Linked DNA regions of Astyanax mexicanus. The protein of the gene in region 3 binds, or shares a complex with, the protein of the main gene of each other region. Links are inferred from orthologs where the notes say so. Each region holds a gene or a part of one and is shown on either strand. Other genes may lie near its edges. The genes, in order: ube2e1; skp2; nuclear factor 7, brain-like.

What was found.
Region 1: the proteins of nuclear factor 7, brain-like (region 3) and ube2e1 are in contact, whole or in part, in a crystal structure (PDB 6FGA), measured with the Homo sapiens proteins. The link is inferred for Astyanax mexicanus from reciprocal best matches to the Homo sapiens genes TRIM21 and UBE2E1. Residues at the interface, in NP_003132.2 of Homo sapiens: Pro17, Ile18, Cys19, Leu20, Asp21, Glu38, Cys39, Gln42, Val43, Pro52, Arg55; in NP_003332.1 of Homo sapiens: Lys43, Lys50, Arg51, Lys54, Pro107, Phe108, Asn138, Trp139, Ser140, Pro141, Ala142, Thr144.
Region 2: nuclear factor 7, brain-like (region 3) and skp2 share a complex: the UniProt entries of both Homo sapiens proteins name them as parts of the SCF(SKP2)-like complex. The link is inferred for Astyanax mexicanus from reciprocal best matches to the Homo sapiens genes TRIM21 and SKP2.

Annotation. Positions count from the first base shown.
Region 1 is NC_064410.1:324,986-335,930, reverse strand, and holds the start of ube2e1 (ubiquitin-conjugating enzyme E2 E1), read right to left. Parts: upstream 4,997-10,945; 5' UTR 4,887-4,996; intron 3,895-4,886; exon of another isoform or gene 3,542-3,894; intron 3,017-3,541; 5' UTR 3,008-3,016; coding exon 2,847-3,007; intron 1,306-2,846; coding exon 1,255-1,305; intron 1-1,254. UniProt on the Homo sapiens protein: Accepts ubiquitin from the E1 complex and catalyzes its covalent attachment to other proteins. Catalyzes the covalent attachment of ISG15 to other proteins. Mediates the selective degradation of short-lived and abnormal proteins.
Region 2 is NC_064424.1:6,371,312-6,382,155, reverse strand, and holds the start of skp2 (S-phase kinase-associated protein 2), read left to right. Parts: upstream 1-5,967; 5' UTR 5,968-6,022; coding exon 6,023-6,123; intron 6,124-8,417; coding exon 8,418-8,641; intron 8,642-8,929; coding exon 8,930-9,044; intron 9,045-9,512; coding exon 9,513-9,656; intron 9,657-9,747; coding exon 9,748-9,882; intron 9,883-10,844. Other genes in the region: G-protein coupled receptor-associated protein LMBRD2B, read right to left, coding at 1,201-1,299, 2,085-2,197, 2,294-2,467. UniProt on the Homo sapiens protein: Substrate recognition component of a SCF (SKP1-CUL1-F-box protein) E3 ubiquitin-protein ligase complex which mediates the ubiquitination and subsequent proteasomal degradation of target proteins involved in cell cycle progression, signal transduction and transcription.
Region 3 is NC_064415.1:5,420,484-5,431,357, forward strand, and holds nuclear factor 7, brain-like, read right to left. Parts: upstream 5,405-10,874; 5' UTR 5,216-5,404; coding exon 4,628-5,215; intron 4,532-4,627; coding exon 4,436-4,531; intron 4,349-4,435; coding exon 4,115-4,348; intron 4,020-4,114; coding exon 3,872-4,019; intron 3,799-3,871; coding exon 3,772-3,798; intron 3,672-3,771; coding exon 3,124-3,671; 3' UTR 2,864-3,123; downstream 1-2,863. UniProt on the Homo sapiens protein: E3 ubiquitin-protein ligase whose activity is dependent on E2 enzymes, UBE2D1, UBE2D2, UBE2E1 and UBE2E2.

The DNA.
Region 1 (10,945 bases), on a different chromosome or scaffold from region 3:
TTGTATCTGTATCTTTATCAACTATGCCAGTAATCCCATTCACATATCAAATACATACCCAACATGGAGAGAGAAAAAAAAAAAAAAAGGGATTATGCCCTTTCTGGATTGGATGTACAACATGAATCACCCAGTCAGTCAATGCTAATCTGTACTTTTACTGTAGAAGAGTAGAAAAACTAACTTTACAAACATGTCCATGAAAGGCTACACTAAATAAGTAAACAACCTCAGGACAAGACAAGAAATACAACTCAAAAATAAAAGGACAATTACTGTCACTTGCTCTCATGTTCGTTTGGTGATGTATTTTGGGTTTGGGTTCCATCGACTTCAAGATAAAACACACTGCAGCTCTCTAGGAAGGGCAGCATGCTGTGCCTGACCAGACCCCGGGAAAACAGGAAACACATGGAACTTCTAAACAGCTCTTTTAGCTCACGGTATAATTCAGGGCGGGAACAAACGCAGGAAGTCGTTTCGGGGAGCAAGAAGTCTGCTTTTTCTCCGCTAATCACCGCCAAGCGGAGCTAGCAAGCTCATCACAGCCTTCAGGTGAACCAAAAGATGATTGTGTAGTATCTCTTAGGCTGCAATACGTTAAAATTAGCCTATGCTGTCTTCAAGTCCTCTTTAGAAACTCCTACTTATGAGGTAAGAGGTCGTAATTACGACTTAATATGCGTTCAGATGTGTATTGGTCGGATGGAAATGGACGCCATAAGGAAAGTCCTTTTGTTTATATTTTTGGTATATTATCATAAAAAACAGGAGGTTTATTTGCCCTACTTCTAGAAAATAAAGCAAATAGGACTCTCGTTAGGTGAGTGATAGTTTTTTTACTATCCCATTAGAACCGTGAATCATATCAGACTTTTACGATTTTTCATGTATTGCTAGTGATTTTATTAGTTAGCTAAAAACAACCTGCAGTGAAGTGTTGAAGCGTAAGAAGTTAATAATAAGAACTGTCTACATCAATTTCACTTGGTTACTGACACGCCCCCAACTGGGAAACTCTTATATTAAAGGGGCTTATCTAAAAATCTGTGTTTTCCACCGTTAAATTCACTATGCGTTTGTGGTAGAGTGTATGTGCTTTCTCAAAAATATACATGATATTTCCAACACGACTTTAAGGCAGCATTACTCTGACAAAAACACTTCTGATCTCAATCTTATAGGCTCAAAAACGCACATCAACAGCAACAACCCACAGATAAATACAATTCACAAAAAACCAAACAGACTGACCTGCAATTTGGTGGAGGATCCAACATGATATCAGCCAATTCCTTCTGAATTCTGAAACAAAACAGCAACGATAAAAGATCATGTAAGTGTTTTGAAGTATGATCAAAAAACAATCACAAAATTGTATTAAAATGCCTTTTCTTTCCCAGCTCAGGCCACCTCAAAGCAGTGGGAGCAGCCACAGAGGAACATCTGGAGAAACACTTGGACAAACACTTAGACAAAGAACTGGCCCTTCTTTCTACTCTACTTTCATGCGAGTGATCTCCTGCACGGGTGGTCTGTCTGCATTTGTATAGAGTGAGAAGTGAGAGTTCAAGTGCAATTGGCACACAATACCTCGCCTAATTAAAACCTACTTAACAGAAATGAATGGGTCAGCCAAACATTTCAGGTTTCCCCCCCTTACAAGAAAACCTCAAACAAATTCAAAAACTTTCTTTTTTAGTAAAAATCTTTATTTGATTTTTATTTTTTTAATCACTGAATGTTATAGATAGCATCAGTTTCATCAGTTTAACATCAAGTCATTCAAACAGATTATTCAACTGAATTACAAATGCATTAAATCAAAGGTGTGAGATATGGGATGCACACAATATGATATATTAAGATATAGGTCACAATATATATTTACTGTTCCTGATATCTGATAAGAAGCAATTGACAAAGGGATATGCACTATCTGAGAACTTATAAAATAAATCAATTAAATTAAATAAACAGGCCTAAATAAAACCATGTGTAAAATGTGTAGTTAAATAGTGTTCTCTATACACAATAACAATACTTTTTGCTCATATACTTTGAATCACCTACTTATCCAACTCCACGTTCTACAGTGCACCTATGCTGCTACAGTATATTCTACATAAAGATGTCTGTCATAACTTAAATACCATGCACGCCTGACTTTCCGCAGATGTTAATGATCTTCCCATAGCTACCTATATCGAACTGAATGTGAATCAGCTGATTGATGTCTTCTGCACTTTGTCTTGTTGTTTTTTTGTTATTTGCAAGGTGTGTGTAAATATGTAAAGCATTTGTAATTAGGTGTAACATTATTTATTCAGAGTACACAACATCCTGTGTTCTTCAGCTACACTCCTTCATCCACACTTCCTCATAGAAAGCAAAAGAGCAACTATACATCCATTTACAGCTCTGGAACAAAATGAGAGCACTTCAGTTTCTGTATCAGTTTCTCTGATTTTGCTATTTATATGTTTATGTTTGAGTAAAATGAACATTGCTGTTTTTCTCTATATATAACTACGGACATGCATCATCCTCTTGATTATATTCCAGAGGTTTTCAATGAAATGAGGGGTGAAATCAAAGAAACTCATCATTTTCAGGTGGTCTCTTATTTTTTTCCAGAGCTGCATATATCTCCCGATGTTCACGAAAGATAGAAAGATAGAAAAATTGATAGATTAAGATACTTACATTGCCCAGCCATAACTGTTAGTTAGTTAACTTAGTTAACTAGGACACCTAACCTACCCTAGGTTATTTATTATTTAGGTTAATGTTAATGTTAGTCAGTCACCCATGATCAGAGAGGAGAGACAGACAGCAGGTCTCACCTCTTGGCGCTGGTGGAGAGGAGTTTGGAGGTCTTGCTCATGTTGGCTTTGCTCTCTCGCTTCTTGCTAGGTGTGTCTTTCTCCGCTTGCTGGTGAGCAGCTGAGGAGGAGGAGGAGGATGAAGAGGAGCTGGAGCTGGCACGCGAATCCTCATCCGACATGCTACCGACCTCAAAAGAGAGGAGGAGGAGGACAAAAGGAAACGTGTAAAGCACACCTTAAAATAAAGAGCGAGGAGAAATTATAACAACAATAATAATAACGACAATAACAATAACGATAATAATAATAATAATAATAATAATAATAATAATAATAATAATAATAACCTATCTAGTTAAAGAGCAGAGAGAACAATGTGTGAGGGTGACCTTTAACTGGCTGTTAAAGCCTGGCTATTCTAACCTAGCTAACTCCTCACTCTCACAAACACTAACAGCTAGTTAGCCAACAAGCTAACCAAGCTAACTAACTAGCCTTCACGTAGCTAAGCTAGCTAACTTAACTAGCTCAGGTTAGTTAATGGTTAGCTAACGTTGGCTAACTACGCTAGTTAAATCTAGTTAGATAACAACAACATGTTAAGCTAGATATCAGAGCTAGCCGAATAAACGCTGAAAGATTTCGACCTCCTACTCCTCCTTATCGATAGTGATTTAAAATTATTTAACGTTAAGTTACTGCTCATTTCATACCCCGGCAGCCTGAGGGGAGATTAGCCCGCTGACCTCGATGTTTGCGCCGATAGCGTAACAGTCAGCTAGTTAGCGTTAACCGCGGCTAGGCTCGCTGACGACGTCGCGTTTTGAGAAAAATAATAATAAATAAATAAAAACAAACAACAGTTTTAACGACTGTGGGGAAAAAAATCGTGAAGCGCGTTAGCCTGGTTAGCTTAGAGTGTTAGCTGGTTATAGCTAGCTAACTGACTAAAGCAAGATCATTACGATGGAACCAACAAGCTTAGCCTAGTTAGCTTGGCTAAGTTAGCTTAGCGTTAGCTGGGCTAAAAACGGTGAGAACTGAGAAGCCATCCGAGTGTGTGTGTGTGTGTGTGTGTGTGTGTGTAGAGAGAGAGAGAGAGAGAGAGAGAGAGAGAGAGAGAGAGAGAGAGAGAGAGAGAGAGAGAGAGAGAGAGAGAGAGAGAGAGAGAGAGAGAGAGAGAGAGAGAGAGAGAGAGAGAGAGAGAGAGAGAGAGAGAGAGAGAGAGAGAGAGAGAGAGAGAGAGAGAGAGAGAGAGAGAGAGAGAGAAAGAGTGTGAGAGTGTATACAGAGTGTATAGTGTGTGTATAAAAAGAGAAATATTGAGTGTATAGACAGAGTGTATGTCTTTAGAGAGAGAAAGAGTGTGAGTGTATAGAGAGAGTGATTGTATAGTGTTTATATAGATAGATAAATTGTGTAAGTGTATATAGAGTGTATGTGTATAGAGAGAAAGTGTGAGTGTACAGTGTGTGTATAGAGAAAGAAAGAAAAAATGTGTGCGAGTGTATAGTGTGTATATATAGAGAGAATGTGTGTGTGTGTAAAGATTAAAAGTGTGTGTTTATAGAGTGTGTGTGTGTGAGTGTGTGTATAGAGAGTGTGTGTTAGAGGAGGAGGAGGAGGTGGGGGGCTGAAAAATGGACGGGGCTGGTTAGCTGGCGCCGCCGCAGCAGAAGCAGAATCAGCCGCCGCGCTGTGCACCGATCTCCCCGGTTCTTCTCTCTTATCTCGCCTCGACTTCGACAAACTTCTACTGTAAAACAAAGATCAGCCTCTTTTCCAGCTTCTAAGCTCAACAAAACCAACTTTAAACCGTCGAACAGCCGCTTAATTCCCGTTTAAGCGCCCCGTGTGTCAGTCAGTCAGCCAGCCAGCCGACCTCCCTCCTCTCAGTCCAGCCCCGCCGCCGCTCTCTCTTTCTCTCTCCCCCTCTTTTCTCTCTCCTCTCCGCGGATTAAACCTTTCCCCCGCCGCACCGACACCCGCAAAACCCGCCCGGCCCCCTTATCTACCGCGCCGCCGGTAAAAACTCCGCGGCAGTGGATCCCCGGGTACCTTTCTTTGTGTCTGCGTGTCGAGCCCTTCTCTTCCCCGTCGCCTGTGGACGCGCGTGGCTTTGGCCTCTCGCGCAGCGGAAGTGCTCGTGCAGCAGTGCAGCGGAGCCGCGCGCCCGCCCGCCCGCGTTCACCGGTAATCTCAACAAACTAACGGTGTGAATAAAGAGACCCCGCGAGCGGGCCGACCAGCCAGACTAACGCATCAGCTTTTACCTGACTTATTTATAAATAACTGCATTATTATTATTATTATTATTATTATTATTATTATTATTATTATTATTATTATTATTATTATTATTATTAAAAAAGGAGTTTCAATCAAAAAAGTTTTTTACATTTTCTATAATTTTTACTTTTTCCAATGATTTCTGCCCCTCACAATAAGAATTAAAAAAATTACTTGCTCAATTTTACTTCTTTTGTTTATTTTAGTGCAATTCTTGTCAATCACTTAACTACCAACTACCAACTCCAATGGTATAAAATGATGAAATGATTTTAAAATCCAAATGAAACTGTTCCAGTCATCTAGTTGTTAGTCGTTACCGACCACTTTTGCCGTTTTTGAATTATTTTTTACTATAATATTCCTGAATTCCTGGAACTTCTAAATTGGAATTTCAATATGCCCATTAAAGCGTACTGTCAATATGATAAGAAAACTCTGTCCACTGCATGAAAATATGTGACGTTTTATCTATGGTTTGAAGTGTTTGATAATAAAACATTTTGCCAAGCGATTTATCTTATAAGCCATCTAGTCATCTATCAAGTTTGAAGAGAAAAAAAATGTGTGAACACAAAGTGTGAGCTGAAACTCACCATTTATTGAAAGCTGTGAGCTCTTGATTTCAGCTGTCTTAGTAGTTTAGTCTGAATAGAGAAATGGCAGCAAAAATGTATTAGATAAGATAGAAAAATAAAAAGTAGATTTTTGTTAATAATTACAGATTAAAAATGTAATGTTCGCTTCTATTCAATACAGTAGACGCCATATATGTAAACTAGTTTAGTCCTGTTTTGAATGTAGTGTTGTTGGGATGTCTAAAACCAATATATTTACATATATTTGCTTCTGTACTATAAATTCATACAGTGTAGCCCCACCTATTAACTAACAGGGCATATTTAAACAGGGCCCATACAGTGTGATTGTAGCCAATCAGAACAGAATCCATTTACATAAATCTTTACATTCATTCTAATCATGAAGACAATTCTAAGGGATGAAGAATCTACACAAATCTATATACAAATGACCTAAGTGTACACTGAGATAAGATAAAGATAATATATATGTATATATAAAGATAAATGTGTAGTTTATACTTATTCACTCTGAGTGATTGAATGATTGGCTGAAGGGGGAGGAGGTGTTTTGGGTTCAAGAATTGCCTCATTTACCCACATTTACACCACTGATCTAAAGACACCCCACCTCCCCTCCCCCATCACAGCAGTTTGCATTTGTAACAGGATGGGTTTCAATGGGTTTCCACTCTCACACACACACTTCCTGTCTGTCTCACTGTCTGTTTGCATTATGTATGATTGTAGGCCGAATGCTGGGCTGGGTGGCTGCAGACGATGAGACGCAGCCTGTTTACGGCCACAGCAAAGACCATCTGGCTCATTCAAACACCTGGAAAAGACGCAATCCTTTAGTCAATGCTTTAAGTAGCACCAACGTGGTGAAACGCAATTAGCCAGCTGTTTATGTCAAGATAATTATCTGGTTGCATCCATAAGCAACAGTTCTGGTCACGGTTCAGGTAATGTGATCATTTGGAGAGGCCAACATCATGCAAATAATCAGATCTTTTATTTAACATTTGACTTTGCGATGTGCCACAGAATAGCCATGTTTGTAATACAACCCTCCAATAGTAAGAAAGAAAGAGAGTAATAGAGTATTACTTTATTTATATCATATTTACTTCTTTAATTTAATAGTAGCCAGTTTATTCCCAATAATTCATGGTTTGTTTCGTCATCTACAGGACTCTCCTTCCACTTCTTCCATTGCCATGTCTTTGTAACGTGTGCAGCATGTGGTTTGGCATTGTGTTGTTGAAAATGGATTAATTAATTTCTGCCATCATAGAAGTAAACTGACACAAGATAAAGAAGTACTGCATTATTACCATTTTTCACTGCATAACTCTTTTCTAATTCTTTTGAACCTTGAAATAGGTAAGGAACATCTACATTGGGTAAAAGCTCCTTAGACTCTAAAAGGCTTTTTACATATCTCTATTACAAACTTTTGGTGTTTTTTTTGTTTGTGAAACTATAGGTGGTTCTTCTATGGCATCACTCAAATTTAACCTATTTGAATAATCTCTAATTTTTATTTTCTACTAAATCAGTGTAAGGCTAATTCTTTACCATTCTTCTCAATTCTTCTCTGTTATTGACAGGCGGGGCTGCAAATTGACCATTGACCCCTGAATGCTCACTGCTTTTGTTGGAGTAGAGAGCTGTCTGGATCTTTCCATAACAGCTATAAATTTACAGTTGGCAGATTATAAGTGATGGCCCATCGTTTCTGTCTGGGGGTGGGGGGCTGCTCTACTGTTTCTCCTCTTCTTTTAATGTATTTCTTTCTGAAGGCCTTATTTCTCTATGGTAGCAGTTTGGGAAAACCACCATCAGAATCATTTTCTGGATTTAGAATTTGTTCAGTGAGTAAATAAATATCACTGTTGGTTTCTAAGAGCGCTGAGCAGTGGGAGTCCTTTCATGCAGCGTCTTCTTCTACCACTCGATCTCCTCTTTCTCGGAAGCAGAAAGAAAACAGTCAAAGCCCTTAAAAAGTGCTGTAGGGGAAGTGAGAAACATCGTTTTATCTCTGAGTTTCTGCTCAGCACAGGCTTTAGGCTGCTGTACACTACATTTGTCGTTGAATAGGCTCGAGTCTTTTGTTGGGGGGTTACAGTTCAATCGGTATATAGAGGAGACAGTTGAGTGTTGTAACGCCACCAGTTACCCTCGCAGGACATTATAGCAACAAGGATGCCTGAGTATCAGAGTTTTAGGCGCTCACCACTCTCCTGTGCTAACAAAAGAGTTTACACAGTTTTGTGTGAAACGCTGACTGTGAAAAACTTCTAGTAGAGATCAAGATTGCATATATAGGGTCAGTTTTCTATACAGGGATTAAGTTTAGTTGCAGTCCAAGACTAGGCTCAATCACTGTCCAGGGATTTCACACTTAAAGTTTAAAAGGCCAATAAGATCAACTTAAATGTTACTTGCTTTAATTTTCTGAAATATATGAATGACACAAGCAGAAAGAAAATGTTTAAAAATGCAATTTATTTATAAGTGAGTTTTTTTTTTTGGGGGGGGGAGGGGGGTTCTATGGAAATGCATGACCAATTTTAATTCATTTAATTAAACTAAATCATGCTTGCCTTTAAATTCTGTAATTCTGAAGGTACAACTCCTATTTTTATTTTTCTATTTATAAGATGGAAAGCTTTGGATTTTGGTCAGTTCTCATTGGTCCCCATTGGTTTCATCTGTCCACAAAAGTCAGGCTTTTTTAATCTACATTTTTACAAACTTTTTACAATCTTACCGTTCTGTTTTTGTGGTCCATGTCTTGCATTGTTGTCGCTGTATTTCTATATTTGTCTGTAAGTCTTTTACAAATTGTGTAAAATCCACACACTTTATTTTGACACTCCTGATGTTTGGTCGATCTCTCGAATGTTTTTCTCCTTTTTTCAGTTTCATAATAAATTATTTTCACAGCTCTTGTTCTTCTATATTCAGCTTTGCGCTGGGTATGGTCTCCATCAGCTGATCCGCGGCTGTTCCTGAGTGTCCCAGTCTTTTGGGAATGAATATTTACAGAGGTTTCACATGCTGTGTGCATGCACAATTGGAAAAGTGTCAGCAGTGGGTGAACTTTCTTCTACTTAAAGGGGTTTCCATAATCAATCTTGACATGCAGCGTATGAACAATACTTGAATTCAGAGCGTAAGTGTGTCACATGCAAAGACTGAGGTCACTGGAGTTACTTTTCCGAAATTTTACATTCACAGCTGTACGGAAAATATTAGCAAACCTCAAACTCTCACAGAGGAGCCTTTTTTTCACAGCACTGGGAGTCTGAGAGGTTAGTAGTGTGGTAAAATAAAACAAAAAAAACAACAGTCACTTTCTAAAGGAAAATCCTGTGATAAACAGGAAAGCGTCGCTCTCGGTCGGGGAAACGTTAACGCAGAGAAACCACACAGAAACCAAGCAAACCACCACTCAGCTCAACACCTCATTTATTCACTCAGTTGTTTAACAGTTGAGTATCGACTGAGTTTTCCCTCACAATGTGCATTTAACAACAAACAGCCAATGGCGGCACGTGGCGAGCAGCAGGCCCACTGATATACTGAACTGGTACAGGGCTTCTCAAGATAAACAGGCCAGTGCCGTAGTGTTCCACATAAACAACACGGAGAAATCTGGGGAGAAATCTGGACTTAAAACACCAATCAGAAATAAAAAATCCACTTTAATGGAGAAAAAGAAGAGGAGATTCAGTGATGAGCGCCTGGTCTTCAGCTCGAGTGTCGTCTTCCCAGAGGAGAAGAAAGGCCAGAAGATCCAGAAGAGAAACCATAGAGTGCAGTTCACCCTCTTCTCAATAATAAAGCAGATTATATTCCATCATTAAACACATTAAAAAAACATTACAAATAATAATAAAGCTTTTGATGACCATGCCAACATTCAGCGCACTGGAAAAAAGTACAATCCTGATCTGCTCTTAGTATACATTTACTGTATAAAAAAGCCTTCAAGTCAACAAGAAAAAACAAAGGACAGTTCATTGTTTAGGGACGGGGAGGGGGATGGGCGGGGGAACATCATCTGGGAACATCTGGGAACGTCTGGATCCAGGGCCGGGTGTGCTTTCTTTTAGGGATGCAGGAGGCACAGCAGTACAGGAGGGTTGGGTGGTTTATGTGGCGTAGCGTTTGGTCCACTGTTTGGCTATCCTGTCGTGTTCTGCTCTGTTGGTCAGGTACTGTGTGGCGATGCTTCCCACCAGAGGATCGGCTGTGAGGAGAGAGACACGAGAAGAGAGAGAGCACCACAGGCTCTTAGAGATAGAGATAGCTCACACAACACACACAAATACAGCCCCTAAAAAGATGCAAACTTAAACAAAAATCAATTTTGTCGAACAGTGTGCAGACAGTTTAAACGTTAGATATTTCAACTGTGGTTGGTGTGGCACAGTGGATAACACCACTACCTGCCCGTTGGAGGGAGAATGGGGTTCAATAATTCCAGGTCTGGGTGACTACAGAATGCTGATCTACACCAATACCCCAAAGTCCCAGGGCAAGACTCCCAACACTCCTAACACTACATTGGTCCACTGGCCCAAAGCCATCGGCTCTTTAATAGGAATAACCTTGAGTCAGATAAATGCTGTAAATGTAATGTAAATGTCAATAACTTGAATTTATTAATACTTATTAATACATCCATTAATGCAGTGCAGATTTGCAACAGATTCCAAAAAAGTTGGAAGTGGTTTTAATCAGGTGATACGAAAAGGTGATTCTAATCGTGATTTGGTACAAAAACTTTATCCACCAAACGTCTCTAAGAGTCTTTAATAAGCAGAAGTTGGGCAGAACAGGGTGAGACAGTTACTGAATCTGTATCTCACTCAACTGTGCAAAAAAGTGAGAGAGTGAAATGCACAAAAATATTAAAGTTTTTACTTCAAAATCTCACAAAATCAGGTTTGTTTGTGTTTAGTGTTTAACCTGGTAGATCCTGCATAAAAGCTTCACTTTCACACTTCAGTTCCTTACAGTTTTATAGGTCCGACAACTGAACCCTGTGGAACTCCACTGTTCACAATAACTACAGTTTCTGTATTAGTAATAACAGCACAATAATTAGCCTATAGGGTTTAAAGAGGCGTCATTTAGACTCTGTAGTTCACTACTTCCAATTCTACCACACTCCTGTTATTATAATCCTCTGTCTTAAACTTGTTTCAGCATCTCTCAGTAGATATAGTGCAT
Region 2 (10,844 bases), on a different chromosome or scaffold from region 3:
GAAGGAAGGCTGCAACAATAAGTGGACATAATCGACAATGTTGACTATAAAAATTTGTCGATGCAGAATTTCATTGTCAGCTTGTTTTTAATGTGTGATGAAGCTCTGAACAGGAGGTGCTGTGGAGAACTAAGAGAAGTAAATACCAAAAAGAATAAATGAACAAAAAAATGATAAAAGGACAGTTTTTTATATGTTAATTGTAATTAAGAACAAATTATATATATAATCTTCAATATAATTAATACAAAAAAAACACAATAGAAGAGATTAAAACATTTTTTGTCAAAACCTAATATATAAATAAAAAAAGGCCTGTGTGAGTGTTTCCTATAATTTACTATGTAAAGTTTATCTTAGAATAGGTACGTCAAACTATCAAAATGTACTGCTGAATCTGTCTAGGGCCCTAAACGTTTAGCTGTCTATGTGCAGCAAAGAATGCACTGGATCAGGAGTCTCACCAAGAAGAAGTTCAAAGGGAGGGCATGGTAAAATATAATTTCGACTAATCTACTAATCGATCAAATAATCAGCAGATAAGTTGACAACTAAAATAGTCATTAGTTGCAGCCCTATTAAAAAGTTGAGGTTTGTTTGTCTGTAGATGGTCCGAACAAAAGCAGACATGTTAAAACTTGGTGTGTCACAGTGGATAACACCACTACATGCCAGTGAACTACCACATCATGTGGTTCAATTCCCAATCTGGGTGACTTTGCTGCTCTGCACCAATAAGCGTCCTTGGGCAAGACTCCTAACACTTCATTGGCCCACCTCCGTAATACGAATAACCTTGAAAGTCGCTCTGGACAAGAGCATCAGCTAAATGCCATAAAAGACTTCTGGTGCATTGTGAAAAACATTACAGCAAAACAGGTAAACACTTCATAGGAAAGGGCAAAAGCTTATAATACAGCAGGACAGCAGGCCATGTGACCATGTCTTACTGATATTAACAATAAATGTTATCAATTTGGTTTTGCATGGCTGTTTAAAAAAGTCAAAGGTGCAGAAGTGAAATTTATATAGCTTAATACACATGCCTAAATTTATTAAACTTATTTTAATCATTCTGTGGTAAAACACCCATAAATATACTGTAAATAAAAATTAAAATGCAAAAGATCATAATCTATACTACACTGAAGAAGATCATGAGGTAAGATTTGAGGAAATTGCATTGCATTGCTTTCTCACCATGTAAGACACTGTGAGGTCCAGTACACAACCCTCCAGAACACAGGCATGATCCCATTGGGAATGTAGCTCCATGGTTTGTAACAAGCCTTCGGAATGCTATTAAAGAAAAAACAAGTACATTAATTGATGACTGTTATGAATATAGCTAAATCTTTAGTACATGCAGTTTATTTTTATAGCACTTTTTACTTTCTAAACATGAAGATTCAAATATACTGAGCATGTTTTGTCATTTTGGACAATTGTAATTGGTTCAATGATCAAACTGCTCTTGTAAAAAGGGGACAAATAATATTTTAAATAAAAAATAAGAGACCACTTAAAAATTATGAGTTTCTTTGATTTTACCAAATTGAATACGTCTGGACTACAATCAAGATGAAGCTGGATGATCACAAGCCATCAAACTAAGCTGAACTGCTTGAATTTTTGCACCAGGAGTAAAGGCATAAAGTTATTCAAAAGCAGTGTGTAAGACTTGTGGAGAACATGATGCCAAGAAGCATGAAAACTGTGATTTTAAACCAGGGTTATTTCACCAAATATTGATTTCTAAACTCTTACAACTTTATGAATATGAACTTGTTTTCTTTGCATTATTTGAGGTCTGAAAGCTCTGCATCTTTTTTGTTATTTCAGCCATTTCTCATTTTCTGCAAATAAATGCTCTAAATGACATTTTTTTTATTTCTAATTTGGGAGACGTGATGTCCGTAGTTTATAGAATAAAAAGTTGTCTCTTATTTTCTCTCAGAGCTGTATATATAGAAACAAACAAAGGACACACTAATGTACCTGTAATAAAGACAGTAGCTATTCCTAGTCTATTATTCATGAGCCTCTTTACAGCACAATAGAAATAACACAGAAAGTAGACCAACCTAGCAGTGGGCGTGACAGTCGCATTTCCTGTTGTCTGGTTGGAGATTCCTGGGCCCACAGATGGTGACTGAGCATGTTCCTCATGATCAATCACGCACTGTTTGTATATTGTCTGGAATACATATTAAACACAAATATGAATTAAGCTGCAATGCATTTAAAAATCATAGAATAATTATGTAATTTCCAAATATCAGACTAAACGAACCGTGCTGACGTCCAGCGGGAGAATGAAGACAATGAGAAAGCACAAATACCAGGCCAGCAGTGTGCCAAAGAGCACCATGCGCTGCTGCTTTTTGAAGTCTCCATAACGATGCAGCAGGAACAAAGCCAGGAAAAAGACCACGACTATCTCTATTCCCAGCGCAGCTCCACTCATTCTCCCCTGCTGCAGTCCTCCAGACTAATGAAAACTGTGCAGAACAGGCAGAGAGGAAAAAACATGTTAGACAGAATAAGAATAGCAAGACACTAAAGACTCTAAAACACTATTACATGGAGCAAGAGCTAAGCACAGCAAAGGCCTTCCACAAACTAATTACAATTAGAATACAAAACACCGGCCTCAGACAAAAGCTAGTGTCCCCTTTACCAATCTGAAAGACCTTTTTGTTTTTATTCACTAGAGCAAGATTACAAGAAGAAATCAAATTATTCTGAATCGTGGGTCAGACACAGAGTTTCATATTATTATTTTGTATCTATACTTGATTTTCTGATTCTTTCATTTTTGCATTTAGTAACACATTTGGTTGGATTATGGGATCATATTTCTGTTATTTCTGTTTTACACTTCTGCGTGCGCATATTAGTGGCTCTGTGTCGCTCTGCAGTTTAAACTGCAAAGGAGGGAATGTGTGGATGGTAGTCCTGGGTGAGATTCATGCTTAATTTTGATTATTCGAATTACAGTTTTAATGCGTTTTTCAAAACGGAGTAATCACGAATTTACATACAGATATTTTATCTTTTTAATCTGAAATATCCAAAACTGTTACTTATTTGTTTAGTGCTTATCTGTCTTACTTTGTGACTCCCACAGACTAACAAATGCATAATTTTTTAAAGTTCCAGCACTTTCAACACAAACACCCGGTGGAAAAAAGCACATATTTAGCTAGAAATAAATCTGTTTCTAAAAACTGCAGCATCATAGCTCACCTTATTTTTTTACAGGTAAACCTAGTTTTGAACCATTTCTTTGTTTATTTGTAGTTTGATTTTTAGAAGGATGGAGAAAACCGGTTTCTAGACGAAAATTGGATTTTTTGTTAAAAAAAATGGAAGATTTTTATTAGGCCATAATTGTCCAGCACTAGTGGGAGGGGACGCGAGGCCCGGCAGACCAATCGCAGCTCCGGCTGTCCAACTCTGATAGAAGGGCTTCACTTTTATCAGAGGCACACTGCTCAGCTCAATCTGCTCTAACTTCGGCCCCGCCCCTAAACCCATACATCACCTAGTGCCCCTCCCACACTACCCCTCCCTTTCTTTTAGAATATTTCAAACTTGAGCTGAGGGAGGAGGGGGTTGGGGCCGTAAAATCAAAATATTAGCTTCAACATAGAAGCACAAACATCAACATTAAACACCAACAATTCAGTTTAACTTCTAAACTAATGGTTTGTATATATAACCTTTTATTGACTCTAATATTTATTAATATACTGATCATATTACCAATAATAAGCGACTTGTCAGACTGTGTGTTTACGCGCATCCGCCGTTGCTGCTAGCTTTAACTACAGCTCTGCTAGGTTAGCTAACAACAAACCCAGCACAGCTAACAGTTACCGTCCGTTAGAAGCTAAACCCCGATATACAGGCTTTTCCTACCTGTCTAACGCGCTGAAAGATACACAGACCGCTCACAGAGCCGCTGTTCTCCACTTCCACACCGCCAATACTGAAAACTGCCCACTAAATAAAGCTGTTCGAGCTACAGCCATTACTCTGCCTGCCCCAAAATCACACACACATCCCCCGGCCACAGCTGCTTTACCCCGAGACCGCCCACTCACCGCCTCCGCCGCTAAAGCAGAAAACCACTGTACACCGCCAGGGAGAGCCCGAGAAAGAGACTAAAATGAATAGGGTGAATAGAGCTTTTTAGTATATTTTATGTAGTTTGCTTTTAAAACATAAAGCACAACCAATACAATATTGAAAAGGTGAAAACAAGGAAATATGCAAGTGAACAAAAGGAAAAAAATATATAATATGACATACAGTATAATATAATTATACATATAGTGGTAATATAATTAATACAAATATAAATAAACCTAGTTACATTACATTACATTACATTTGGCAGACGCTTTTGTAGTGAAGAACAGAAATAGTAGAAGGTAAAACAACTTAATATAAGGCCTAAAGGAGGTCAAAGGGGAATAATGGGATAGAGGAGTGAAGGAGGGGAAGAAGGAAATGAGGTTAGAAGTTGTTAGTTTGTTAGAGGTGTTAAGAGGGTAAGTGCTCTTTGAAGAGAGCTGTCTTCAGGAGTTTATTAAAGATAGTGAGAGATTCTCCTGATCTGGTAGTAGAAGGTAGTTTGTTAGAGGTGTTAAGAGAGTAAGTGCTCTTCGAAGAGCTCTGTCTTCAGGAGTTTATTAAAGATAGTGAGAGATTCGCCTGATCTGGTAGTGGAAGGTAGTTTGTTCCACCATTGGGGAACTCTGTATGAGAACAGTCTGGATTGCTTTGTGTGAATGTTTGTTTGGTAAAGCTAGGCGACGTTCATTGGAGGAGCGCAGCAGCCGGGAGGTAGCGTAAGCCTTTAGGAGTGATCAGTGCAGGTAGGAAGGAGCCTGTTCTGTCATCACCTTGTAGGCGATTGTAAGAGCTTTAAAAACCTAGTGTAAAACTAACAAAAAATATATATAGTCAAAGATAAAATTCAAAAAATATTTTTCTTTTTTTTTTGCAATTCTTTATTTTTCCAGTGTGTGCTAAAAAATAAAAGTGCTCTATCATAAAAAAGTCGCTCCACAATTAGAAGTACATGTACTAAAATAATAAAAATGTTTTGTATTTACGTACAGCAAGTATTTATTCTAAAATGTACTACTTAAGTACTGAAAGTAGAAGTACAATATTGTGTCATGTACTAGCTAACTACTACTTCCAGAGCAGAGCGTCTGAGTGGGAATTCTCTTTTCTATTAGAGATTATTTTCACCCAGCGACCAGAACAACTCTAGGGAAGCAAGCGGGACGGCATTCGGCATCTTCACGCATGCGCACTGATAGTGTCGCTTTGTATGCAACATACACGGCTGGATGTGGGCTACGATGACTTGGAGATCAGCAAATATGAAAATTCAGTGAATTAAATTTAATTATTTGGATTAATAGAATGAATTAAATCTATCTACAGCACTAGTAAAATATTTGGACACCCATTCTTATTAATATTTGTTCTTTATTTTTATTATTTTCTACATTGTAGATTAATATGAAAGACTTAAAATTATTATTATTTATAATTTGTAGTTTATTCGTGGTTTGAACACCCATTCCTTCAAGACGCTGATTTACTTAGCCATAATATTTTAGACATAAACATAAAATGTAGACATAAAATTTCAAAACTATTCTTATGAAGACACAGATTAAAATACCAAGAGTTTGCAGATCCGTCCTCAAAGATAAACGTGCTTCTTAGATGTTTCCTGTATAGCGTTAATATTGTCTTCAATATTAAATTTACAATGTAAAAAAAAGATAAAAATAAACAAAACACATTGAATCTACCTGTCTGTCTGTCTACTTGTCTGTCTGTTCAGTCAGCCCTGGTCTGAGTGAGTCAGTGTAATATTTCTCCGGTCCAGCAGGGCGGCGACAGTCTGTGCGCTGCTCCGCTCTGAGCTCAGTCTGGGTGGCGGTGGAGCTGCGCGTTTAAACGGTGGCGGCTGCAGACAGAGAGCACAGCAATGCAGAGATCAGTACTGAGCAGCAGATCTGAGAGATTTACTGCGGAAACACATATAAAACAATTTAAACACGGACTAGAGAGTGAGATGGCAGTGGATAGGTGAGTATAGCACTGTTTATGGACTGCAGAAGTGCCTGGTTGTGGAATAACTTATATTAATACTGGGTTAGTAGATAGAGTAGTTTTAGTGTTTGGTTATAATGTAGATAACCCCTTAATAATTCATACTAACTAGTTATCTAACTCTTTAGTGTAGTGTCTTTCGTAGCCAATTAAATATGTATCCAGCAATGTGATCAGTAAGTTAGTTAACTGTACAAGTTATCTAGAAAACGTATCTAATACAAGTACTAACAGTTAACTAAGCTAAGCTAGCTAAACTTATAACTTACACATGAGCTTCAGTAATGCTCTGTTTAGCTAGTTAGGTTAAATCCTGTGTGTTTAAAACAATATTTGCTCTAGATAACATATTATTGTCCTATCCTAACTATTACAAAGCTTTATATATCTCTAAAGCTAAGTTATATAAGTTATTTAGCTTAAAAGTTAAATAGAGGGAACTGAGCTGACTGCTAGCTATTATGGCTAAGCTAACCTAGCTTTAGCTCCCTCCTTTCCAGCACTTCTGGCGCGCCTTGGCTTTTAAAGGCTTTAAACTTAAAAATAAGAAAAATATTATTCGTTTAACTATCGTATCATGTCTGTATATAAAAATGTTAATCGTTATGATACTTATTTCTGTGATTTTCTATCATTTTGAGCTCTTTTTTGGTGTTCTATTGTTGAGATGGCGCGATCAGAGGGAGCCAAACTGTAGTTCTGGCGGGCACCAAAACAACTCTGAAAAAAGTTTCAAACTCCGCCTAATTTTCACTTTAAAGCTCAATAAATTAAGGCATATATGTTTTATAGTATATTTGACACTTGTTTTTTGTTACATGTATGTTTTATAGCTTGATAGCTGTTTTAATTTAGGTTATTTATATGTTTAATGTGCGTTATTGCTTGACAAACAACTACACTGAGCACAGTTGGCTGCTCAGTGTCGTTAATGTTAGCTTAAATAAATGATTTGGGCTGCAAGAGTTGATTAACATAATCGATATTGTTGATTATTAATGACTTTACCTAACAAATTTCAGTGTGGACTAATCGTTAACTAGATAGAAACCTGTGGACAGAAACCCACAGTAGGGGGAGGGTTTCAGGGCTACTCACTCACTAAGTTCACACTTAGCCTGGGCACCAAAACTGATAACAGATTACATAATTAAAGGTCAGGGCAATATGGCGATATTATCATATTATAAAATCTTAATATCCTATTGATTATGCTTAAAACATATAAATAAAATTCAGTGCCTAAAAATAATGATACAACTGTTCATTTCAATAAAAAATTAGGTAATGCTTTTTGACCCTTTCAGATTCTGCAGCCATTACAATATACATCATGTATTTTCTTTATTTTTAAACGTTTTATTGCACATAACACTATTTGATAGCTATCAGAATAGACTGTGAACCTTGAATGGCAAATGAACAAGTTACTAAAAGACAACTTACTAATCTAATGTGAGTTGGAAAGCGTTTTAATTGTTTTTTTTACTGTTTAGGAATTGGTTATGAAACGAAAAAAAAGATTTATATAAAATCTGTGCTAAATAGATTTTTTTTTCCATCACTGGAGATATTTCAGGTCTGAAAGTTTTTTTTTTTTGCAATTTTACAGCAGCTCAAAGAACAGAACAGAGGAAGTATAAGGACATATACATACAAACAATATATAAAATATCTATATATATATATATATATATGCAAGAAAATGAATATAAAGGAAGATACAAGATATTTAAAAAAGTATTATTATATAAAAATACAATTTTGTTAAATTGGAAAATTAAACATTTTATTTTTTAATAAATCAATAACTTGGTCTGCTTTCAGTCTCAGACGCTCTTGGTTCTGGTCTTAATTCGGACTTGGTTCTAGCTTTCTTAATTACAACACTATTGGCACAGTTAATGATGACATACAGTAGGACACAGGCGGTAGCTTTTATATTGTTTATATTGATAGTGGAATTATATTGCATTGGCCAAAATTCAGAAATACCTTTTGGCAATATCGCCCAGCCCTAATATTTACTAACTAAATACGAGAAGATTTTACATTTTCCACTGTCTTCTGGGCATTTATTTACAAGGCCTGTAAGTCCCACTTTTGCACTTTCTATCATTTTTGAAGCAATTTTGAAAGAGCCATACACACAGGAAGCAGAGTTTGGAGGGCATGATATAAACAAAATATAGATTTAAAAATATTTTCTCATGCTTATTAATTAATTACTGTTTAGCTATTGACTCTTAACAAACCACCCTGATTTGCAGGCCGCTTCAAGAGCTTCCATGTCTGAATGAGAATTTGGAGGGATCCCTGCTGTGCATGTCTCAGACGAAAAAGAAGCAAAGGCTGCGCTACGGTGAAGAAAACACCCCGCATGAATTCATCCAGCACCTTTCACCCCCTCGCAAACAGCCTCGGCTCTGCGGCAAGGGCAAGGAGAACGCTTTTGTGTTGGCCAGACGTCCTCGAAAGAGCAGGGAATCAACAGGTATTGATATTGTGTTATATACCTTTATATCCAATGTTATTACATGTGTGCTTAGTCAATAATCATTTGAGGGAGATCTCCCTGCTGGTATTTTAACACTGATTTACAGTTAAATGTATACACAACTTTAGAACCAAGTGTAACATTTATTTTTCTTTTACTTTAGCTTTCAACTAACTGTATGCTAACAAAAAGTTATATTCTTTTTTTACATTTATTAAACTATAGATACTATACATTTCCTTAAAAACTCAGTCTGTTCACAAACATACTTTCTCCCTCCTGCAGCCGGTCTATCCTGGGACAGTCTCCCAGATGAGCTCCTGCTGGGGATCCTTTCACGCCTCTCGCTGCAGGACCTTCTCCGGACCTCCCGTGTGTGTAAACGCTGGCATAGAGTGGCGTAAGTTGTTCCCTCCAGTTTTTGTGCTTATTAGTAAGAAAAATATAAATATATACATCAACACAGCACACACACAGACACAGACAGGTGAGTAAAGGACACCCTTTTATTTCAGAATGAAAGAAATTTCTGAAATAAACGGGTGTCCTGCGAGCTAGCATTCATTTCTCAACTTAAGCTGATAAAACCATGATTTATTTTACAGAATATGATAATAGAATACTAGTGCATTTATGTATTATGTTTAAAAAACAAAAACTATTATTTAAGTATTAATGACAAGGCATTTTCATTATATTGTAAAATATCTTTCATGCAACCATGGAGGTCTAATATTTTACTGTATTTATCATTTGACCTGCATGACTGACTAGCTTTACATTTTAGGCTCCAATCAGGACCTTTGGTTCTCTTACACTAATATCGTAATGATTAATCCACCGATTCCATTGTTTGTTTAATTTTCAGATTTGATGAGTTCTTGTGGCGCAGTGTGGATTTGGTGGGGAAAGCTCAGCTGGATGCAGAGCTTGGCCAGGTGTTGAGTGCTGGAGTCCTGAGGCTGCGCTGTCCACATGTGTGCATTGGTCAACCCAGTTTTAAAAATACAGAGTAAGTGATGAGCCACTGTATTAAAGCCTATAGTTTCAACGTTACTCTTTTATTCTGTTTTACTAAAACTAAAATCACATGTATGTTTCAGACCTCTCCGTGTAAATCATATGGACTTGTCCGGCTGCACCGTACAGACGTCTGTCCTGGAGGACATTTTGTCCCGCTGCAGACGGCTACAGAATCTCAGTCTTGAGGGCCTTGAACTTTCAGACAAAATCCTCCAGTATGTTAACTTACAACAATATACTGTTGCCTGTTTAAATTGTATTAAGGTTGCTGTGTAGAATGTAACCGTGTGTATGGTACAGGGTATCTGCAGATCCATTAAGTCTTAATCCTTAATTTGTTTTATATTAATGGGTCTTAATTTGTAGAATATCTTAAATTTGTCCCCTAAGGTCTTAAGAAGGCCAAATCCAGTAAATACTTTTTTTTTTTTATGCATTGCATTTTGCAGTTTCCAAATTTTATTCGCAAGTTAGTTTACAGATTTAAATTAGTTAGACTGAACTAAGCAGGACCAATGGTATTATTATGTATGGCTCAGATGGGGACTATTTTAAGGTACACAGATTTTAGTTAGAATAGACAGTAATGTATAGGCTTGGAAAAACAGTAGGAATTGGGGTTAGACGACCCCAGTTTTGCTGCACACTATATTTAAGCATTGCCATCGTGTATAAGCGTAATAATCACATCACAGGACATTTGTTACATTATTACAACAATATTACATTAGACATTGTATCTTATGTATCAAATTGTATGTTGTGCTGCATTTAATGTGAAACAAAAAAACATTGCACCACATACTTGCCAACTGAGATTATTTAGAAATAATTAGTAGCAGATAAGATATATAAATTTGCCCAAAAATTCATTTTATGTTTTTGTTTTGACCAAAAAAAATAAAGTTAAAATAAACTTTAAAATTAAAAATAGACACCCATTGAACATTTTATTATTATGGCATGTTTAGATTTTTGACTTGTTGAGAAATTATGACTTTCAACACGATACCTGCCTACATATATAACAATACAGATACTAAAAAGATAATAAGGCCAAAACTTAAAACATCAGAGATTAATGGAATAGTATAAGACCGAACATGGAGGTAAAAAATGTGTTTTTTTTTTTTTTTTTTTTCTTCAATGAATTAAGTTCAAATCCTCAACAAAGAGC
Region 3 (10,874 bases):
TGATGAGTGGGGCTGAGGTAGGGTTGCCAGGTCCAACAAAAATACTCCAAAAACTCAAAATCAGTCTAAAACCTGCCCTTCAGAAGCTTAATTTAGCCCAAAATATCTGTCTGTCACACATTTGAAGCAAATGGAAAAATAACTATGAGTGAACGACTTAGTATTTAGTTTATAAGGGATTTATTATCAGTATTGCTATTTATCTTAAAGTCATTAATAATATTGTAACATTAATGTTTTATTTGTTGTTTTATAACAGTTTTATATCCCAGTCAAGAACATTTAATAGTAATATAATTAGCAATAATGTAATTAGGTACTTTTTTTTCCTTATTTTTTCTGTTTTTTCCCACTCCTGAACTGTTTTCTCTCCTCTTTAACAGTTTTTTTAATTGCCTTGTGATTTTCAGTTACATGGTGAATTTCTCTCTTTCTCTCTCTCTCTCTCTCTCTCTCTCTCTCTCTCTCTCTCTCTCTCTCTCTATGGGAAGTAAATTCTGCCAAAAATAAAACTGAAATGAAAACACTAAAATAAAAAATGCAAATACAGTTTTGCGCTTTTTTTTCAATTGTGTGAAAATATTGTAAAATAAAATGAAATCACTTCATTTGCAATACATTTTATTTTCAATTAAGCATAGGTTATATGTGACAATAAATAAATAAAAAATATAAAAAAGGCTATTTTTTGCCTTTTAATTTTCATTACCATACAGGTATTTCACAGTCAAATCTAAAATAAAAAAGCTCATTCTAAAAAGAAAAATAAAAGCTTTAATTTGGCCTTGCCTTTTTGTGATGAACTGCATAGTAAATGTCAAAAATAAAATCTAAATGCAATGGTAACATTTTTATTTATTAGTCCTTGCAATGGGTTACGTCCCATAGTTATGTTCTCCTGGTTCTTACTGTTGTAAATCAAAGAAGATAGAACTTGCCCCCCAAAAAAGCACCCACCACCCCTGATTTTTTACCCGCGACTTGATTTTCAAACAAGCCAAATTTGGCGGGAAAACCGCAAACCTGGCAACTCTGAGCTGAAGGAACTGTATAGGGGAAGAAGCTGAAGATCTGAAATCATCAAGTCTGATCTGCAGGAGAGAGAGAGATAAAGAGAGAAAGAGAGATAGAGACCTGAAAAGAGATAAAGAAGGACGACAAAGAGTCTGATGATCCTAAACCTGAGTGATGATCAATAATCAATACCCAAACCCCCAACTGAACCGCTCACAACGTTCCGCCACTTCATACATTAATCACCAACTAATACATTCATCACCAAACTCAACAGCAGATTCAGCATCACAGCACAGCGTCCTCCTATCATCTACTGGTGATTACTGCACTGCACTGGAGCATCATCACAACCTTCAGGAACCTGCTGACGGTGATTATCTACTGTAGTAAACTTTACAGTACGAATACAGTAGAGTTTAGATTCTCTGCCCGACCCGATACCCAAGAAAATGATCTGTGAGGTAATTGTGTGTTTTTAATTCTATTTTTATTTAATATAAAGATATGGAGTGATAATCACAATATAGCAAAGTAACAAATCAAACTGTGCTTTAAATAAAAAAGTTGCACTAGTTAGAATGTTATAATCACACAGCTCTGGGTCTCACGCACACGTGAGATCCTCTATTTGTTGCATTACGCACTTGACTTGCAGCACTGTGTGTATCTGTTCTTAATAAACATTTTTATTAAATAATAGATCTATGCTTCTTCAGTGTTGCAATGTTAATTAACATTATTCTGAACAGATTTATATTATTGAAACAGCCTGAAAATTATTTAAAAAGCTCAGTTTTAACAATTTACTTACTAAAAAAAATGTGGAGTTTAAATCGGGCTCAGGCTCATAATGACAGTTTATGGGTCGGGTTGGAACGGGCTGGATATTTTTGCCTGATATTTTTTTTATATTTATATATTTATATTCATATTTTTTAAACTCTAGCATACAGTACATTTAATCACAGTCCTTATAAAATACTGTATTAAATCATTCTCATCACAGTTATGCAATTATTATCACATAAATAGAGTGCTGTACTTTTACCACAGCAAATATTAGAATATTTTAAAAGGCATTACTGCATTAATTTGAACTTAAACTTCTGAATGATAAAATAACTATATAGTGTAAAATAAAGACAATGTTTTAAGTACAGCTATGTTATTGAGTACAGCTGTTTTTTTCTGATACCTCATACATGAACGTTTATATTAAAATCAGTAATCAGTGCACACTATGTAAATAAATGTTAATATATTTTAAACTAATTTTAAATGTTTTTTTATCAGCACCAAAAGCTGTTCCTCTATGGTGTCACTCAAACAACCGTATGAACAGTCTTCATATTTAAGAGTAAAAATGAGCACAAAATTAACCTCAGCCAAATAAAACAGCACAAAGCAGTAAACACAACTATTGTACAACCGATTTTGGGGTGTTTTGGGTTTTTTGTGTGTTTAATACTGAATCTGAGCTGAAACACAGTGTGTACTGAACTTCTGCTAAATCTGAGATCCAGACTTTACTGGTTAGAAGATCCTATGGAGTAAAGAAGACCAGAGATATAGCTAATTAGTACTTAACAATAACAAGAATAAAAAGGTAGATAGTAAAAAATACCACTAACTAAGACATTGTACAAAAAGTAAACTAAATACTAACTAAAAATAAGTAAATAATTAAATAAGATATTAAGATATTAACTAAAAGTAAGTTTAATTATATTGAATCTGTATATTTTAATACTGAATAAACACATGCAGTAATCATTAAACATCTAAAAAACATGTAGATTCATTAAACATATAAAATATAATAAAACACCACAGACCTGCAGATCTCACAGTTTATTCAGGAATGATTTAATACAGAAAATAAAAGGGGAAAACTACCACCATTATGAACAAAAACTTAACAGAAAATTATCTTTTAAACAGATATAAAGAGAATCTTTGTGTAGAAATTGTTAAGATTTTATTTAGATATTAATTTGTTAAACAGAAACTAGCTTTTGTTACCCAAAATCTACTTTTAATCTACAATCAGATTTTTTGTTCTGACTCAACAAATTAGATTCTGATCGAGTAAATAAACAATAAAGCTCATTTATAATGTTGAACAGGAGTGATGATCAGTGGAGCTGAATTTTTACCTCCATCATTGAGCTCAGGACTGAAGTATGGATAGAGTTTCTCAGTGAAAGACTGACCAGTGAAAGAGTAGATATGAGATCTGACCTCAACATCATAGAAGGAGACCAGACCCTCCTCATAATCCACAAACACCCCCACCTTCTGGGGAGCCTGATTTAACCAGAGGAGGACACGAGGAGATTCCAGAGCTTTATATTCAGTTTCATTCCTCAACCACACAGTCCAGTATCCATTCTCAGGACTCAGTATAATCCTTCCCTTCCTGTTGCTGGACTCTCTGGTCACTCCTAATGTCCACTTAGTCTTCCCACTGACCTGAACCTCATAGTAAAATCTTCCTGAGGAGAAACCCTCCTTTCCCAGAACACAGACACAAGGATCAAATCTCTCTGGATTATCAGGGAGATTCTGTTGTTTGTCTCCAAGTTTAACTTGTTTTTCATCATCAGACAGGATGAGAAAAGGATTTGCTGTATCAGGATCCAGAGTCACGTCCACTGAGAGAGAAACACAGTTTAAACCCATTTTAATCAACATACTGTAAGAAATAGAGAATCATACAGACTGAATCATGTGATCAGTGAAAGCCCCACCCACCTGCATACTGCTGAATTCTCTTCAGTTCTGTTTGAAAAAGAATAAAGACTATTAGATTCTAAATTCAGGTTTATTAAAAACCTGAACAGTAAACACTTACCACTCTTACCAATCTTCTCCATCTCCTGTGTGAGATGTTCCTGAAGCTGAGACAGAGCTCTCCTCAGACTCTCCACACTCAGAGGAGTGTTAACACTGACGTCAGTCCAGTTCTTGGTGTGTGGGGGTCTGCAGAGGGACGGGTAAATCTACAGTACAGCAGGAGAGAGGAGAAACCCCTCAGCATGGGCAGTGCTGTCCTGTGATGGACTGCATTACTATTGAGAAACAGAGGGACTCTGACCTGTAGGAGGTGGAGGTGGTCCTCAGTGTGGGAGATCTGCTCCAGCTCAGTGTCTCTCCTCTTTAGCTCAGTGATTTCCTGCTCCAGCTCTTTAATCAGCTCTTCAGCCTGCCTCTCTGCTGCTTTCTGCTTCTCCTCCATCACCTCCAGCAGCTCAGCCTGGCTTCTCTCAATGCAGCGCACCAGAGCCCTGAAGATCTCCACACTGTCTGCTTTCTCCTTCTCTCTGATTTTCTAAAAGGAGACAACAATAAGAACAATAACACTGTTTAAAGAGCAGCTTTCATATTTAAAATGAGTTTAAACGCTATAGAATCTCACTTTATTGAGTTCTACAGAGTGTTTGATCTCCTGGATCTTCTTCAGTCGCTCCTGGATCATCTGCTGAACTTCTGCCTGTGTCTTCTCCAGCTGAGTCTGTGATAAAGAGACACATTATGATCAGTTATTCTTAGGAAAAATAGGAGAATAGTAAAATTAGTGTTAATAACTCTCTGTCTAAACATCTCTCACCTTCTTCTCTCCACTCTCCTCCTCTATAGGAACAGTACTGTGAGTCCGGTGGTCTCCCTCAGTACAGAACTGACACACACACGTCTGGTCGTCTCTACAGAACAGCTCCAGGGGTCTCTCATGTTTCTGGCAGATGTAGTCCTCCAGGTTCTCCACAGGATCCATCAGCTTGTGTTTCTTATATTTGGGTGTAGTTTTATGAGGCATCAGATGAGTGTCACAGAAAGAAACGCCACAGTCCAGACAGGACTTTACAGCCTCCAGCTTCTCCTCACTACAATAGACACACAGCACCTTCTTAGATTTGGAGGTACATTTCTCTGGAGCTCTGCTGGACTTCTCCTGAACTGACTTCTTAAACTCAGAAGCCAGTCCAGAGATGAAGGTGTTCACACGGAGCTCAGGCCTTTTGGAGAATTCTTCTTTACAGACTGGACACTGGCAGTGTGAGCTGCTGTTCCAGCACTTTCTGAGACAGACCATGCAGAAGTTGTGTCCACATGGAGTAGAGACTGGATCAGTGAACACATCCAGACAGATAGAGCACTGGAGCTGATCTTCAGACAGGAGACTGCTGGAGGAAGCCATGACTGACTGAGGAGACACAGAGAAGCAGCATGAAGGTGATCTGAGAGCACAGAGATCATTTCAGAATAATTCTTAGTCAGTGAATGAAAACAATTTCACACTTTTCACCATCAAACCCATCCAGCTGCTGATCATCTCCACATTCCAGCTGTTAAAGCTGAACTCTGGGACTGAACTAAAGTGAACAGCTTGAGCTGGAGAAAAGAAGTGAGCGTCTTACAGCAGTTTAAACACGTAGAAGAGCAGTGAATGTAAAAAAATTAGCTGAACAGAAGGAAGCAGAAACAGGAGGAAGATTAAGAGACATTACTATGGCATCATATTTTACTGCCAATAGTCGAGAGCGAAGTTTTTGAATGTAAGAGTCTGTTTCATGCAGCGCTCACAGATTTTATTTGCTCACGTGTAAAATATAGGTGCGCTCTCACAAATTTACCATGCTCTCTCTCAGATTAACTCTCCTCTTGTACGAAACATCACACGCACTCTCAGATATATCATATCTGGGATATATCATATATCTAGCTTTGAGCTAATGCTACAGCACACAGAACTCACATCCAAGCGCAGCTGCAGAGATCAGCAGGGGACTCTTTTCGGCACAACACCAGCAAACTCCGGCAGTATGTTTACAGTATATTAAACACAGCTGATCCAACTAATGAACTAACTGACCTCTGTGAGGAGAGCTGGTTGTGTCACAGCAAAAAAAAAAAACTAACCCAGCAATAAAGAGTTACTCCAAAACCAGCTTTAAACACTGTAGCACGTTTTACCATTTACCTTTTTTTTATTTGGTGAAATAAATCTCAATGTTTGGTCTTTCTGGCTCGTTGTTTCAGTACATTAAGCCACGTTAAGATTCATCCTTATAATGTCTTTCAGTGGAAAAAAAACTCACATTAAGCCATTCTACATGTTTTACAGGACAAGTGTTTTAGACTCTGTAGTTCTTCAGTTAGCTGGGTTAGCTCTGTGGTTCTGGAGTAACTCTGTCCTGCTAGTTTTACTGCTGTAACACACAGCTCGCCTCAGTGAGGGCAGTTAGTTAGTTGATTAGTTGTTAGTTGATAATTTGAGTCATGTGTTTAGTATGTAATTAGTATAAACTAATGACCGTAATTAAATACTAAACCCGCAGGGAAGCGCTGCTCCTGAACTGAGAACCACTTTCTCTTATTATCTGCCTTTTAAAGCTCTAACACAGACTACACTGCTCAACATCACCATACTGATAGAGTTTTCACCTGTTTAAATACTTTAATGATCCTCTGTGAAGAAGAAGAATAGTGCAAAACGCGATCCGACCGGAGTTCGCTGGTGTACTGCAGAATCGAGTACTCTGGCATTTCCTGCCACAGATAAGCGTTAGCTTAAAGCTAGCATTTTTTCTCATTACAACTCTTAAACGATCTCATAATTCAGAGGATCTAGTGATGTATAGGAGGAAAATGTACACAGAATAAAACGTACAGAGTTCTGAACAGATTTATTTACCACAGAATGTGATAGAGGCGAGTTTTTGAGAACTTTCAGACACTTATAAGCCATACGAGAACTACAGAATGACGCACGACCTCAGCGGTCTATTTAACTGGTCAAATCCTTTTGCCACTTCTGATTGGCTGGAGACTTTTGGCAGCTTTGTTGCAGTAAAAATCGCTCCGCGAGCACACAGGGAGAGGGGGTTGGATCTCTGCCTGACGGGAGACGGGCGGCAGTGGTGGGTCTTCGTGACGTCACCCGCCAGACACTTTTTCATCGACCCGGCAGTGCCAGGCACGTACCCGGCAGTACTAAAAACTGACAGGGGGCTTGCTGACAGTACGCCGGCAGTTTTAAAAACTGTCAGGTAGCTTCCTGACAGTACGCCGGCACTACTAAAAACTGTCAGGTAGCTTCCTGACAGTACGGCGGCACTATTAAAAACCGTCAGGGGGCTAGCTGACAGTAAGACCGGAGTCAAGCTATCCGCGCTTCGGAAATTCTCAGTCAAGTCATCCGCGCTTTAAATTTTGATGCGCGTATACGTGCGATTTTACGGTAAACAGCCGCGCAGGCGGAGAGCACGCTTAAAAAACACAGAGAACGGGAGACCGACACGTTTCAGTCTATTATATTAATTCAGACATACATTAAGCCCAGAAACGAGAAAAAACGGATTAAAATAACTCACCTCACTGTATATTTTGTGCAGTACATTATCTATTTGATATAATATCCCATCAGTGTTTAAGAGAGAGAGAGTTTTATATTAATATTACTTTTTTCAATCCATGCTTCAAATTAAAATTTCTCATGAGTTTCCCAAAAAACCAAAACAGATCCAGTACCTTGTAAAAGAGTCCATCATAGACTATCACTTCTGCAAGTGTGGGCAATTTTTACTGTATGGTTTATTTTATATTAATAAAAAAAGTGTATGCGTGTTTAAAATTAAATTTTTCATGATTTTCCCATAATGCCAAAACTGGTCCACTACCATTTGAAAGAGTACAACATAGGCTGTCACCTCTGCAAGTTTGGGCAAATTTCACTGTATTTTTTATTTTATATTATTATTATTATTATTATTATTATTATTATTATTATTGTTTTTTTTATTCATGTTTAAAATTAAATTTCTCATGATTTTCCCATAATGCCAAAATAGATCCACTACCATTTGAAAGAACCTATGCTATGACTCCTGCGAGTTTGGGCAAATTTCACTGTTTTGTTTATTTTATATTAATTACAAAAATATATAGATATAAACATATATATATAGTATATGCATATTTAAAATTAAATTTCTTGTGATTTTCCCATAATGCCAAACCAGGTCCACTACCATTTGAAAGAGTATGTCCTAGGCCATGACTCCTGTGAGTTTGGGCAAATTTCACAGTTTTGTTTATTTTATATTAATTACAAAAATATATAGATATAAACATATATATATAGTATATGCATATTTAAAATTAAATTTCTTGTGATTTTCCCATAATGCCAAACCAGGTCCACTACCATTTGAAAGAGTCCATCCTAGGCTATGACTCCTGCAAATTTGGGCAAATTTCACTGTTTTGTTTATTTTATATAATTTTTTTTTTTTTTTTTTTTTTATGCTTAAAATGACATTTCTCATGATTTTCCCATAATGCCAACACAGTTCCATTACCATTTGAAAGAGTCTGTCCTAGGCTTTGACTCCTGCAATTTTGGGCAAATTTCACTGTATTGTTTATTTTATATTAATTTATTAATTTTTTATGCTTAAAATTTAATTTCTCATGATTTTCCCATAATGCCAAAACAGTTCCACTGTTAGCATTTGATGCCAAAACATAGGCTATCACCTCTGCAAGTTTTGGCAAATTTCACTGTATTGTTTATTTTATATTATTATTATTATTTTATTCATGTTTAAAATTAAATTTCTCATGATCTCATGATCTCTACAATTTGAAAGAGTCTGTCCTAGGCTATGACTCCTGCAAGTTTGGGAAAAATTCACTGTATTGTTTATTTTATATTATTTATTTATTTTTATTATTCATGCTTAAAATTAAATTTCTCATGATTTTTCCATAATGCCAAAACAGGTCCACTCCCATATGAAAGAGTCCAGTTTTTAAAACTGCCGGCGTAATGTCAGCAGGCTCCCTGACAGTTTTTAAAACTGCCGGCGTACTGTCAGGAAGCTCCCTGACAGTTTTTAATAGTGCCGGCGTACTGTCAGGAAGCTCCCTGACAGTTTTTAAAACTGCCGGCTCACTGTCAGCAAGCTCCCTGACAGTTTTTAAAACTGCCGGCGTACTGTCAGGAAGCTCCCTGACAGTTTTTAATAGTGCCGGCGTACTGTCAGCAAGCTCCCTGGCAGTTTTTAATACTGCCGGTGTACTGTCAGCAAGCTCCCTGACAGTTTTTAATAGTGCCAGCGTACTGTGAGCAAGCTCCCTGGCAGTTTTTAGTAGTGCCGGCGTACTGTCAGCAAGCTCCCTGGCAGTTTTTAGTAGTGCCGGCGTACTGTCAGCAAGCTCCCTGGCAGTTTTTAATACTGCCGGCGTACTGTCAGGAAGCTCCCTGACAGTTTTTAGTAGTGCCGGCGTACTGTCAGGAAGCTCCCTGGCAGTTTTTAGTAGTGCCGGCGTACTGTCAGGAAGCTCCCTGGCAGTTTTTAGTAGTGCCGGCGTACTGTCAGCAAGCTCCCTGGCAGTTTTTAATACTGCCGGCGTACTGTCAGGAAGCTCCCTGACAGTTTTTAGTAGTGCCGGCATACTGTCAGGAAGCTACCTGACAGTTTTTAAAACTGCCGGCATACTGTCAGCAAGCTCCCTGACAGTTTTTAATAGTGCCGGCGTACTGTGAGAAAGCCCCTTACTGTCAGGAAGCTCCCTGGCAGTTTTTAATACTGCCGGCGTACTGTCAGCAAGCTCCCTGACAGTTTTTAATAGTGCCGGCGTACTGTGAGCAAGCCCCCTGACAGTTTTTAGTAGTGCCGGCATACTGTCAGGAAGCTCCCTGACAGTTTTTAATAGTGCCGGCGTACTGTCAGCTAGCCCCCTGACAGTTTTTAATACTGCCGGCGTACTGTCAGCAAGCTCCCTGGCAGTTTTTAATACTGCCGGCGTACTGTCAGGAAGCTCCCTGACAGTTTTTAGTAGTGCCGACATACTGTCAGGAAGCTACCTGACAGTTTTTAAAACTGCCGGCATACTGTCAGCAAGCTCCCTGACAGTTTTTAATAGTGCCGGCGTACTGTGAGCAAGCCCCCTGACAGTTTTTAGTAGTGCCGGCGTACTGTCAGGAAGCTACCTGACAGTTTTTAAAACTGCCGGCGTACTGTCAGGAAGCCCCCTGACAGTTTTTAGTAGTGCCGGCGTACTGTCAGCAAGCTCCCTGGCAGTTTTTAATACTGCCGGCGTACTGTCAGGAAGCTCCCTGACAGTTTTTAGTAGTGCCGGCGTACTGTCAGCAAGCTCCCTGGCAGTTTTTAATACTGCCGGCGTACTGTCAGGAAGCTCCCTGACAGTTTTTAGTAGTGCCGGCATACTGTCAGGAAGCTACCTGACAGTTTTTAAAACTGCCGGCATACTGTCAGCAAGCTCCCTGACAGTTTTTAATAGTGCCGGCGTACTGTGAGAAAGCCCCTTACTGTCAGGAAGCTCCCTGGCAGTTTTTAATACTGCCGGCGTACTGTCAGCAAGCTCCCTGACAGTTTTTAATAGTGCCGGCGTACTGTGAGCAAGCCCCCTGACAGTTTTTAGTAGTGCCGGCATACTGTCAGGAAGCTCCCTGACAGTTTTTAATAGTGCCGGCGTACTGTCAGCTAGCCCCCTGACAGTTTTTAATACTGCCGGCGTACTGTCAGGAAGCTCCCTGACAGTTTTTAGTAGTGCCGACATACTGTCAGGAAGCTACCTGACAGTTTTTAAAACTGCCGGCATACTGTCAGGAAGCCCCCTGACAGTTTTTAGTAGTGCCGGCGTACTGTCAGGAAGCTACCTGACAGTTTTTAAAACTGCCGGCGTACTGTCAGGAAGCCCCCTGACAGTTTTTAGTAGTGCCGGCGTACTGTCAGCAAGCTCCCTGGCAGTTTTTAATACTGCCGGCGTACTGTCAGGAAGCTCCCTGACAGTTTTTAGTAGTGCCGGCGTACTGTCAGCAAGCTCCC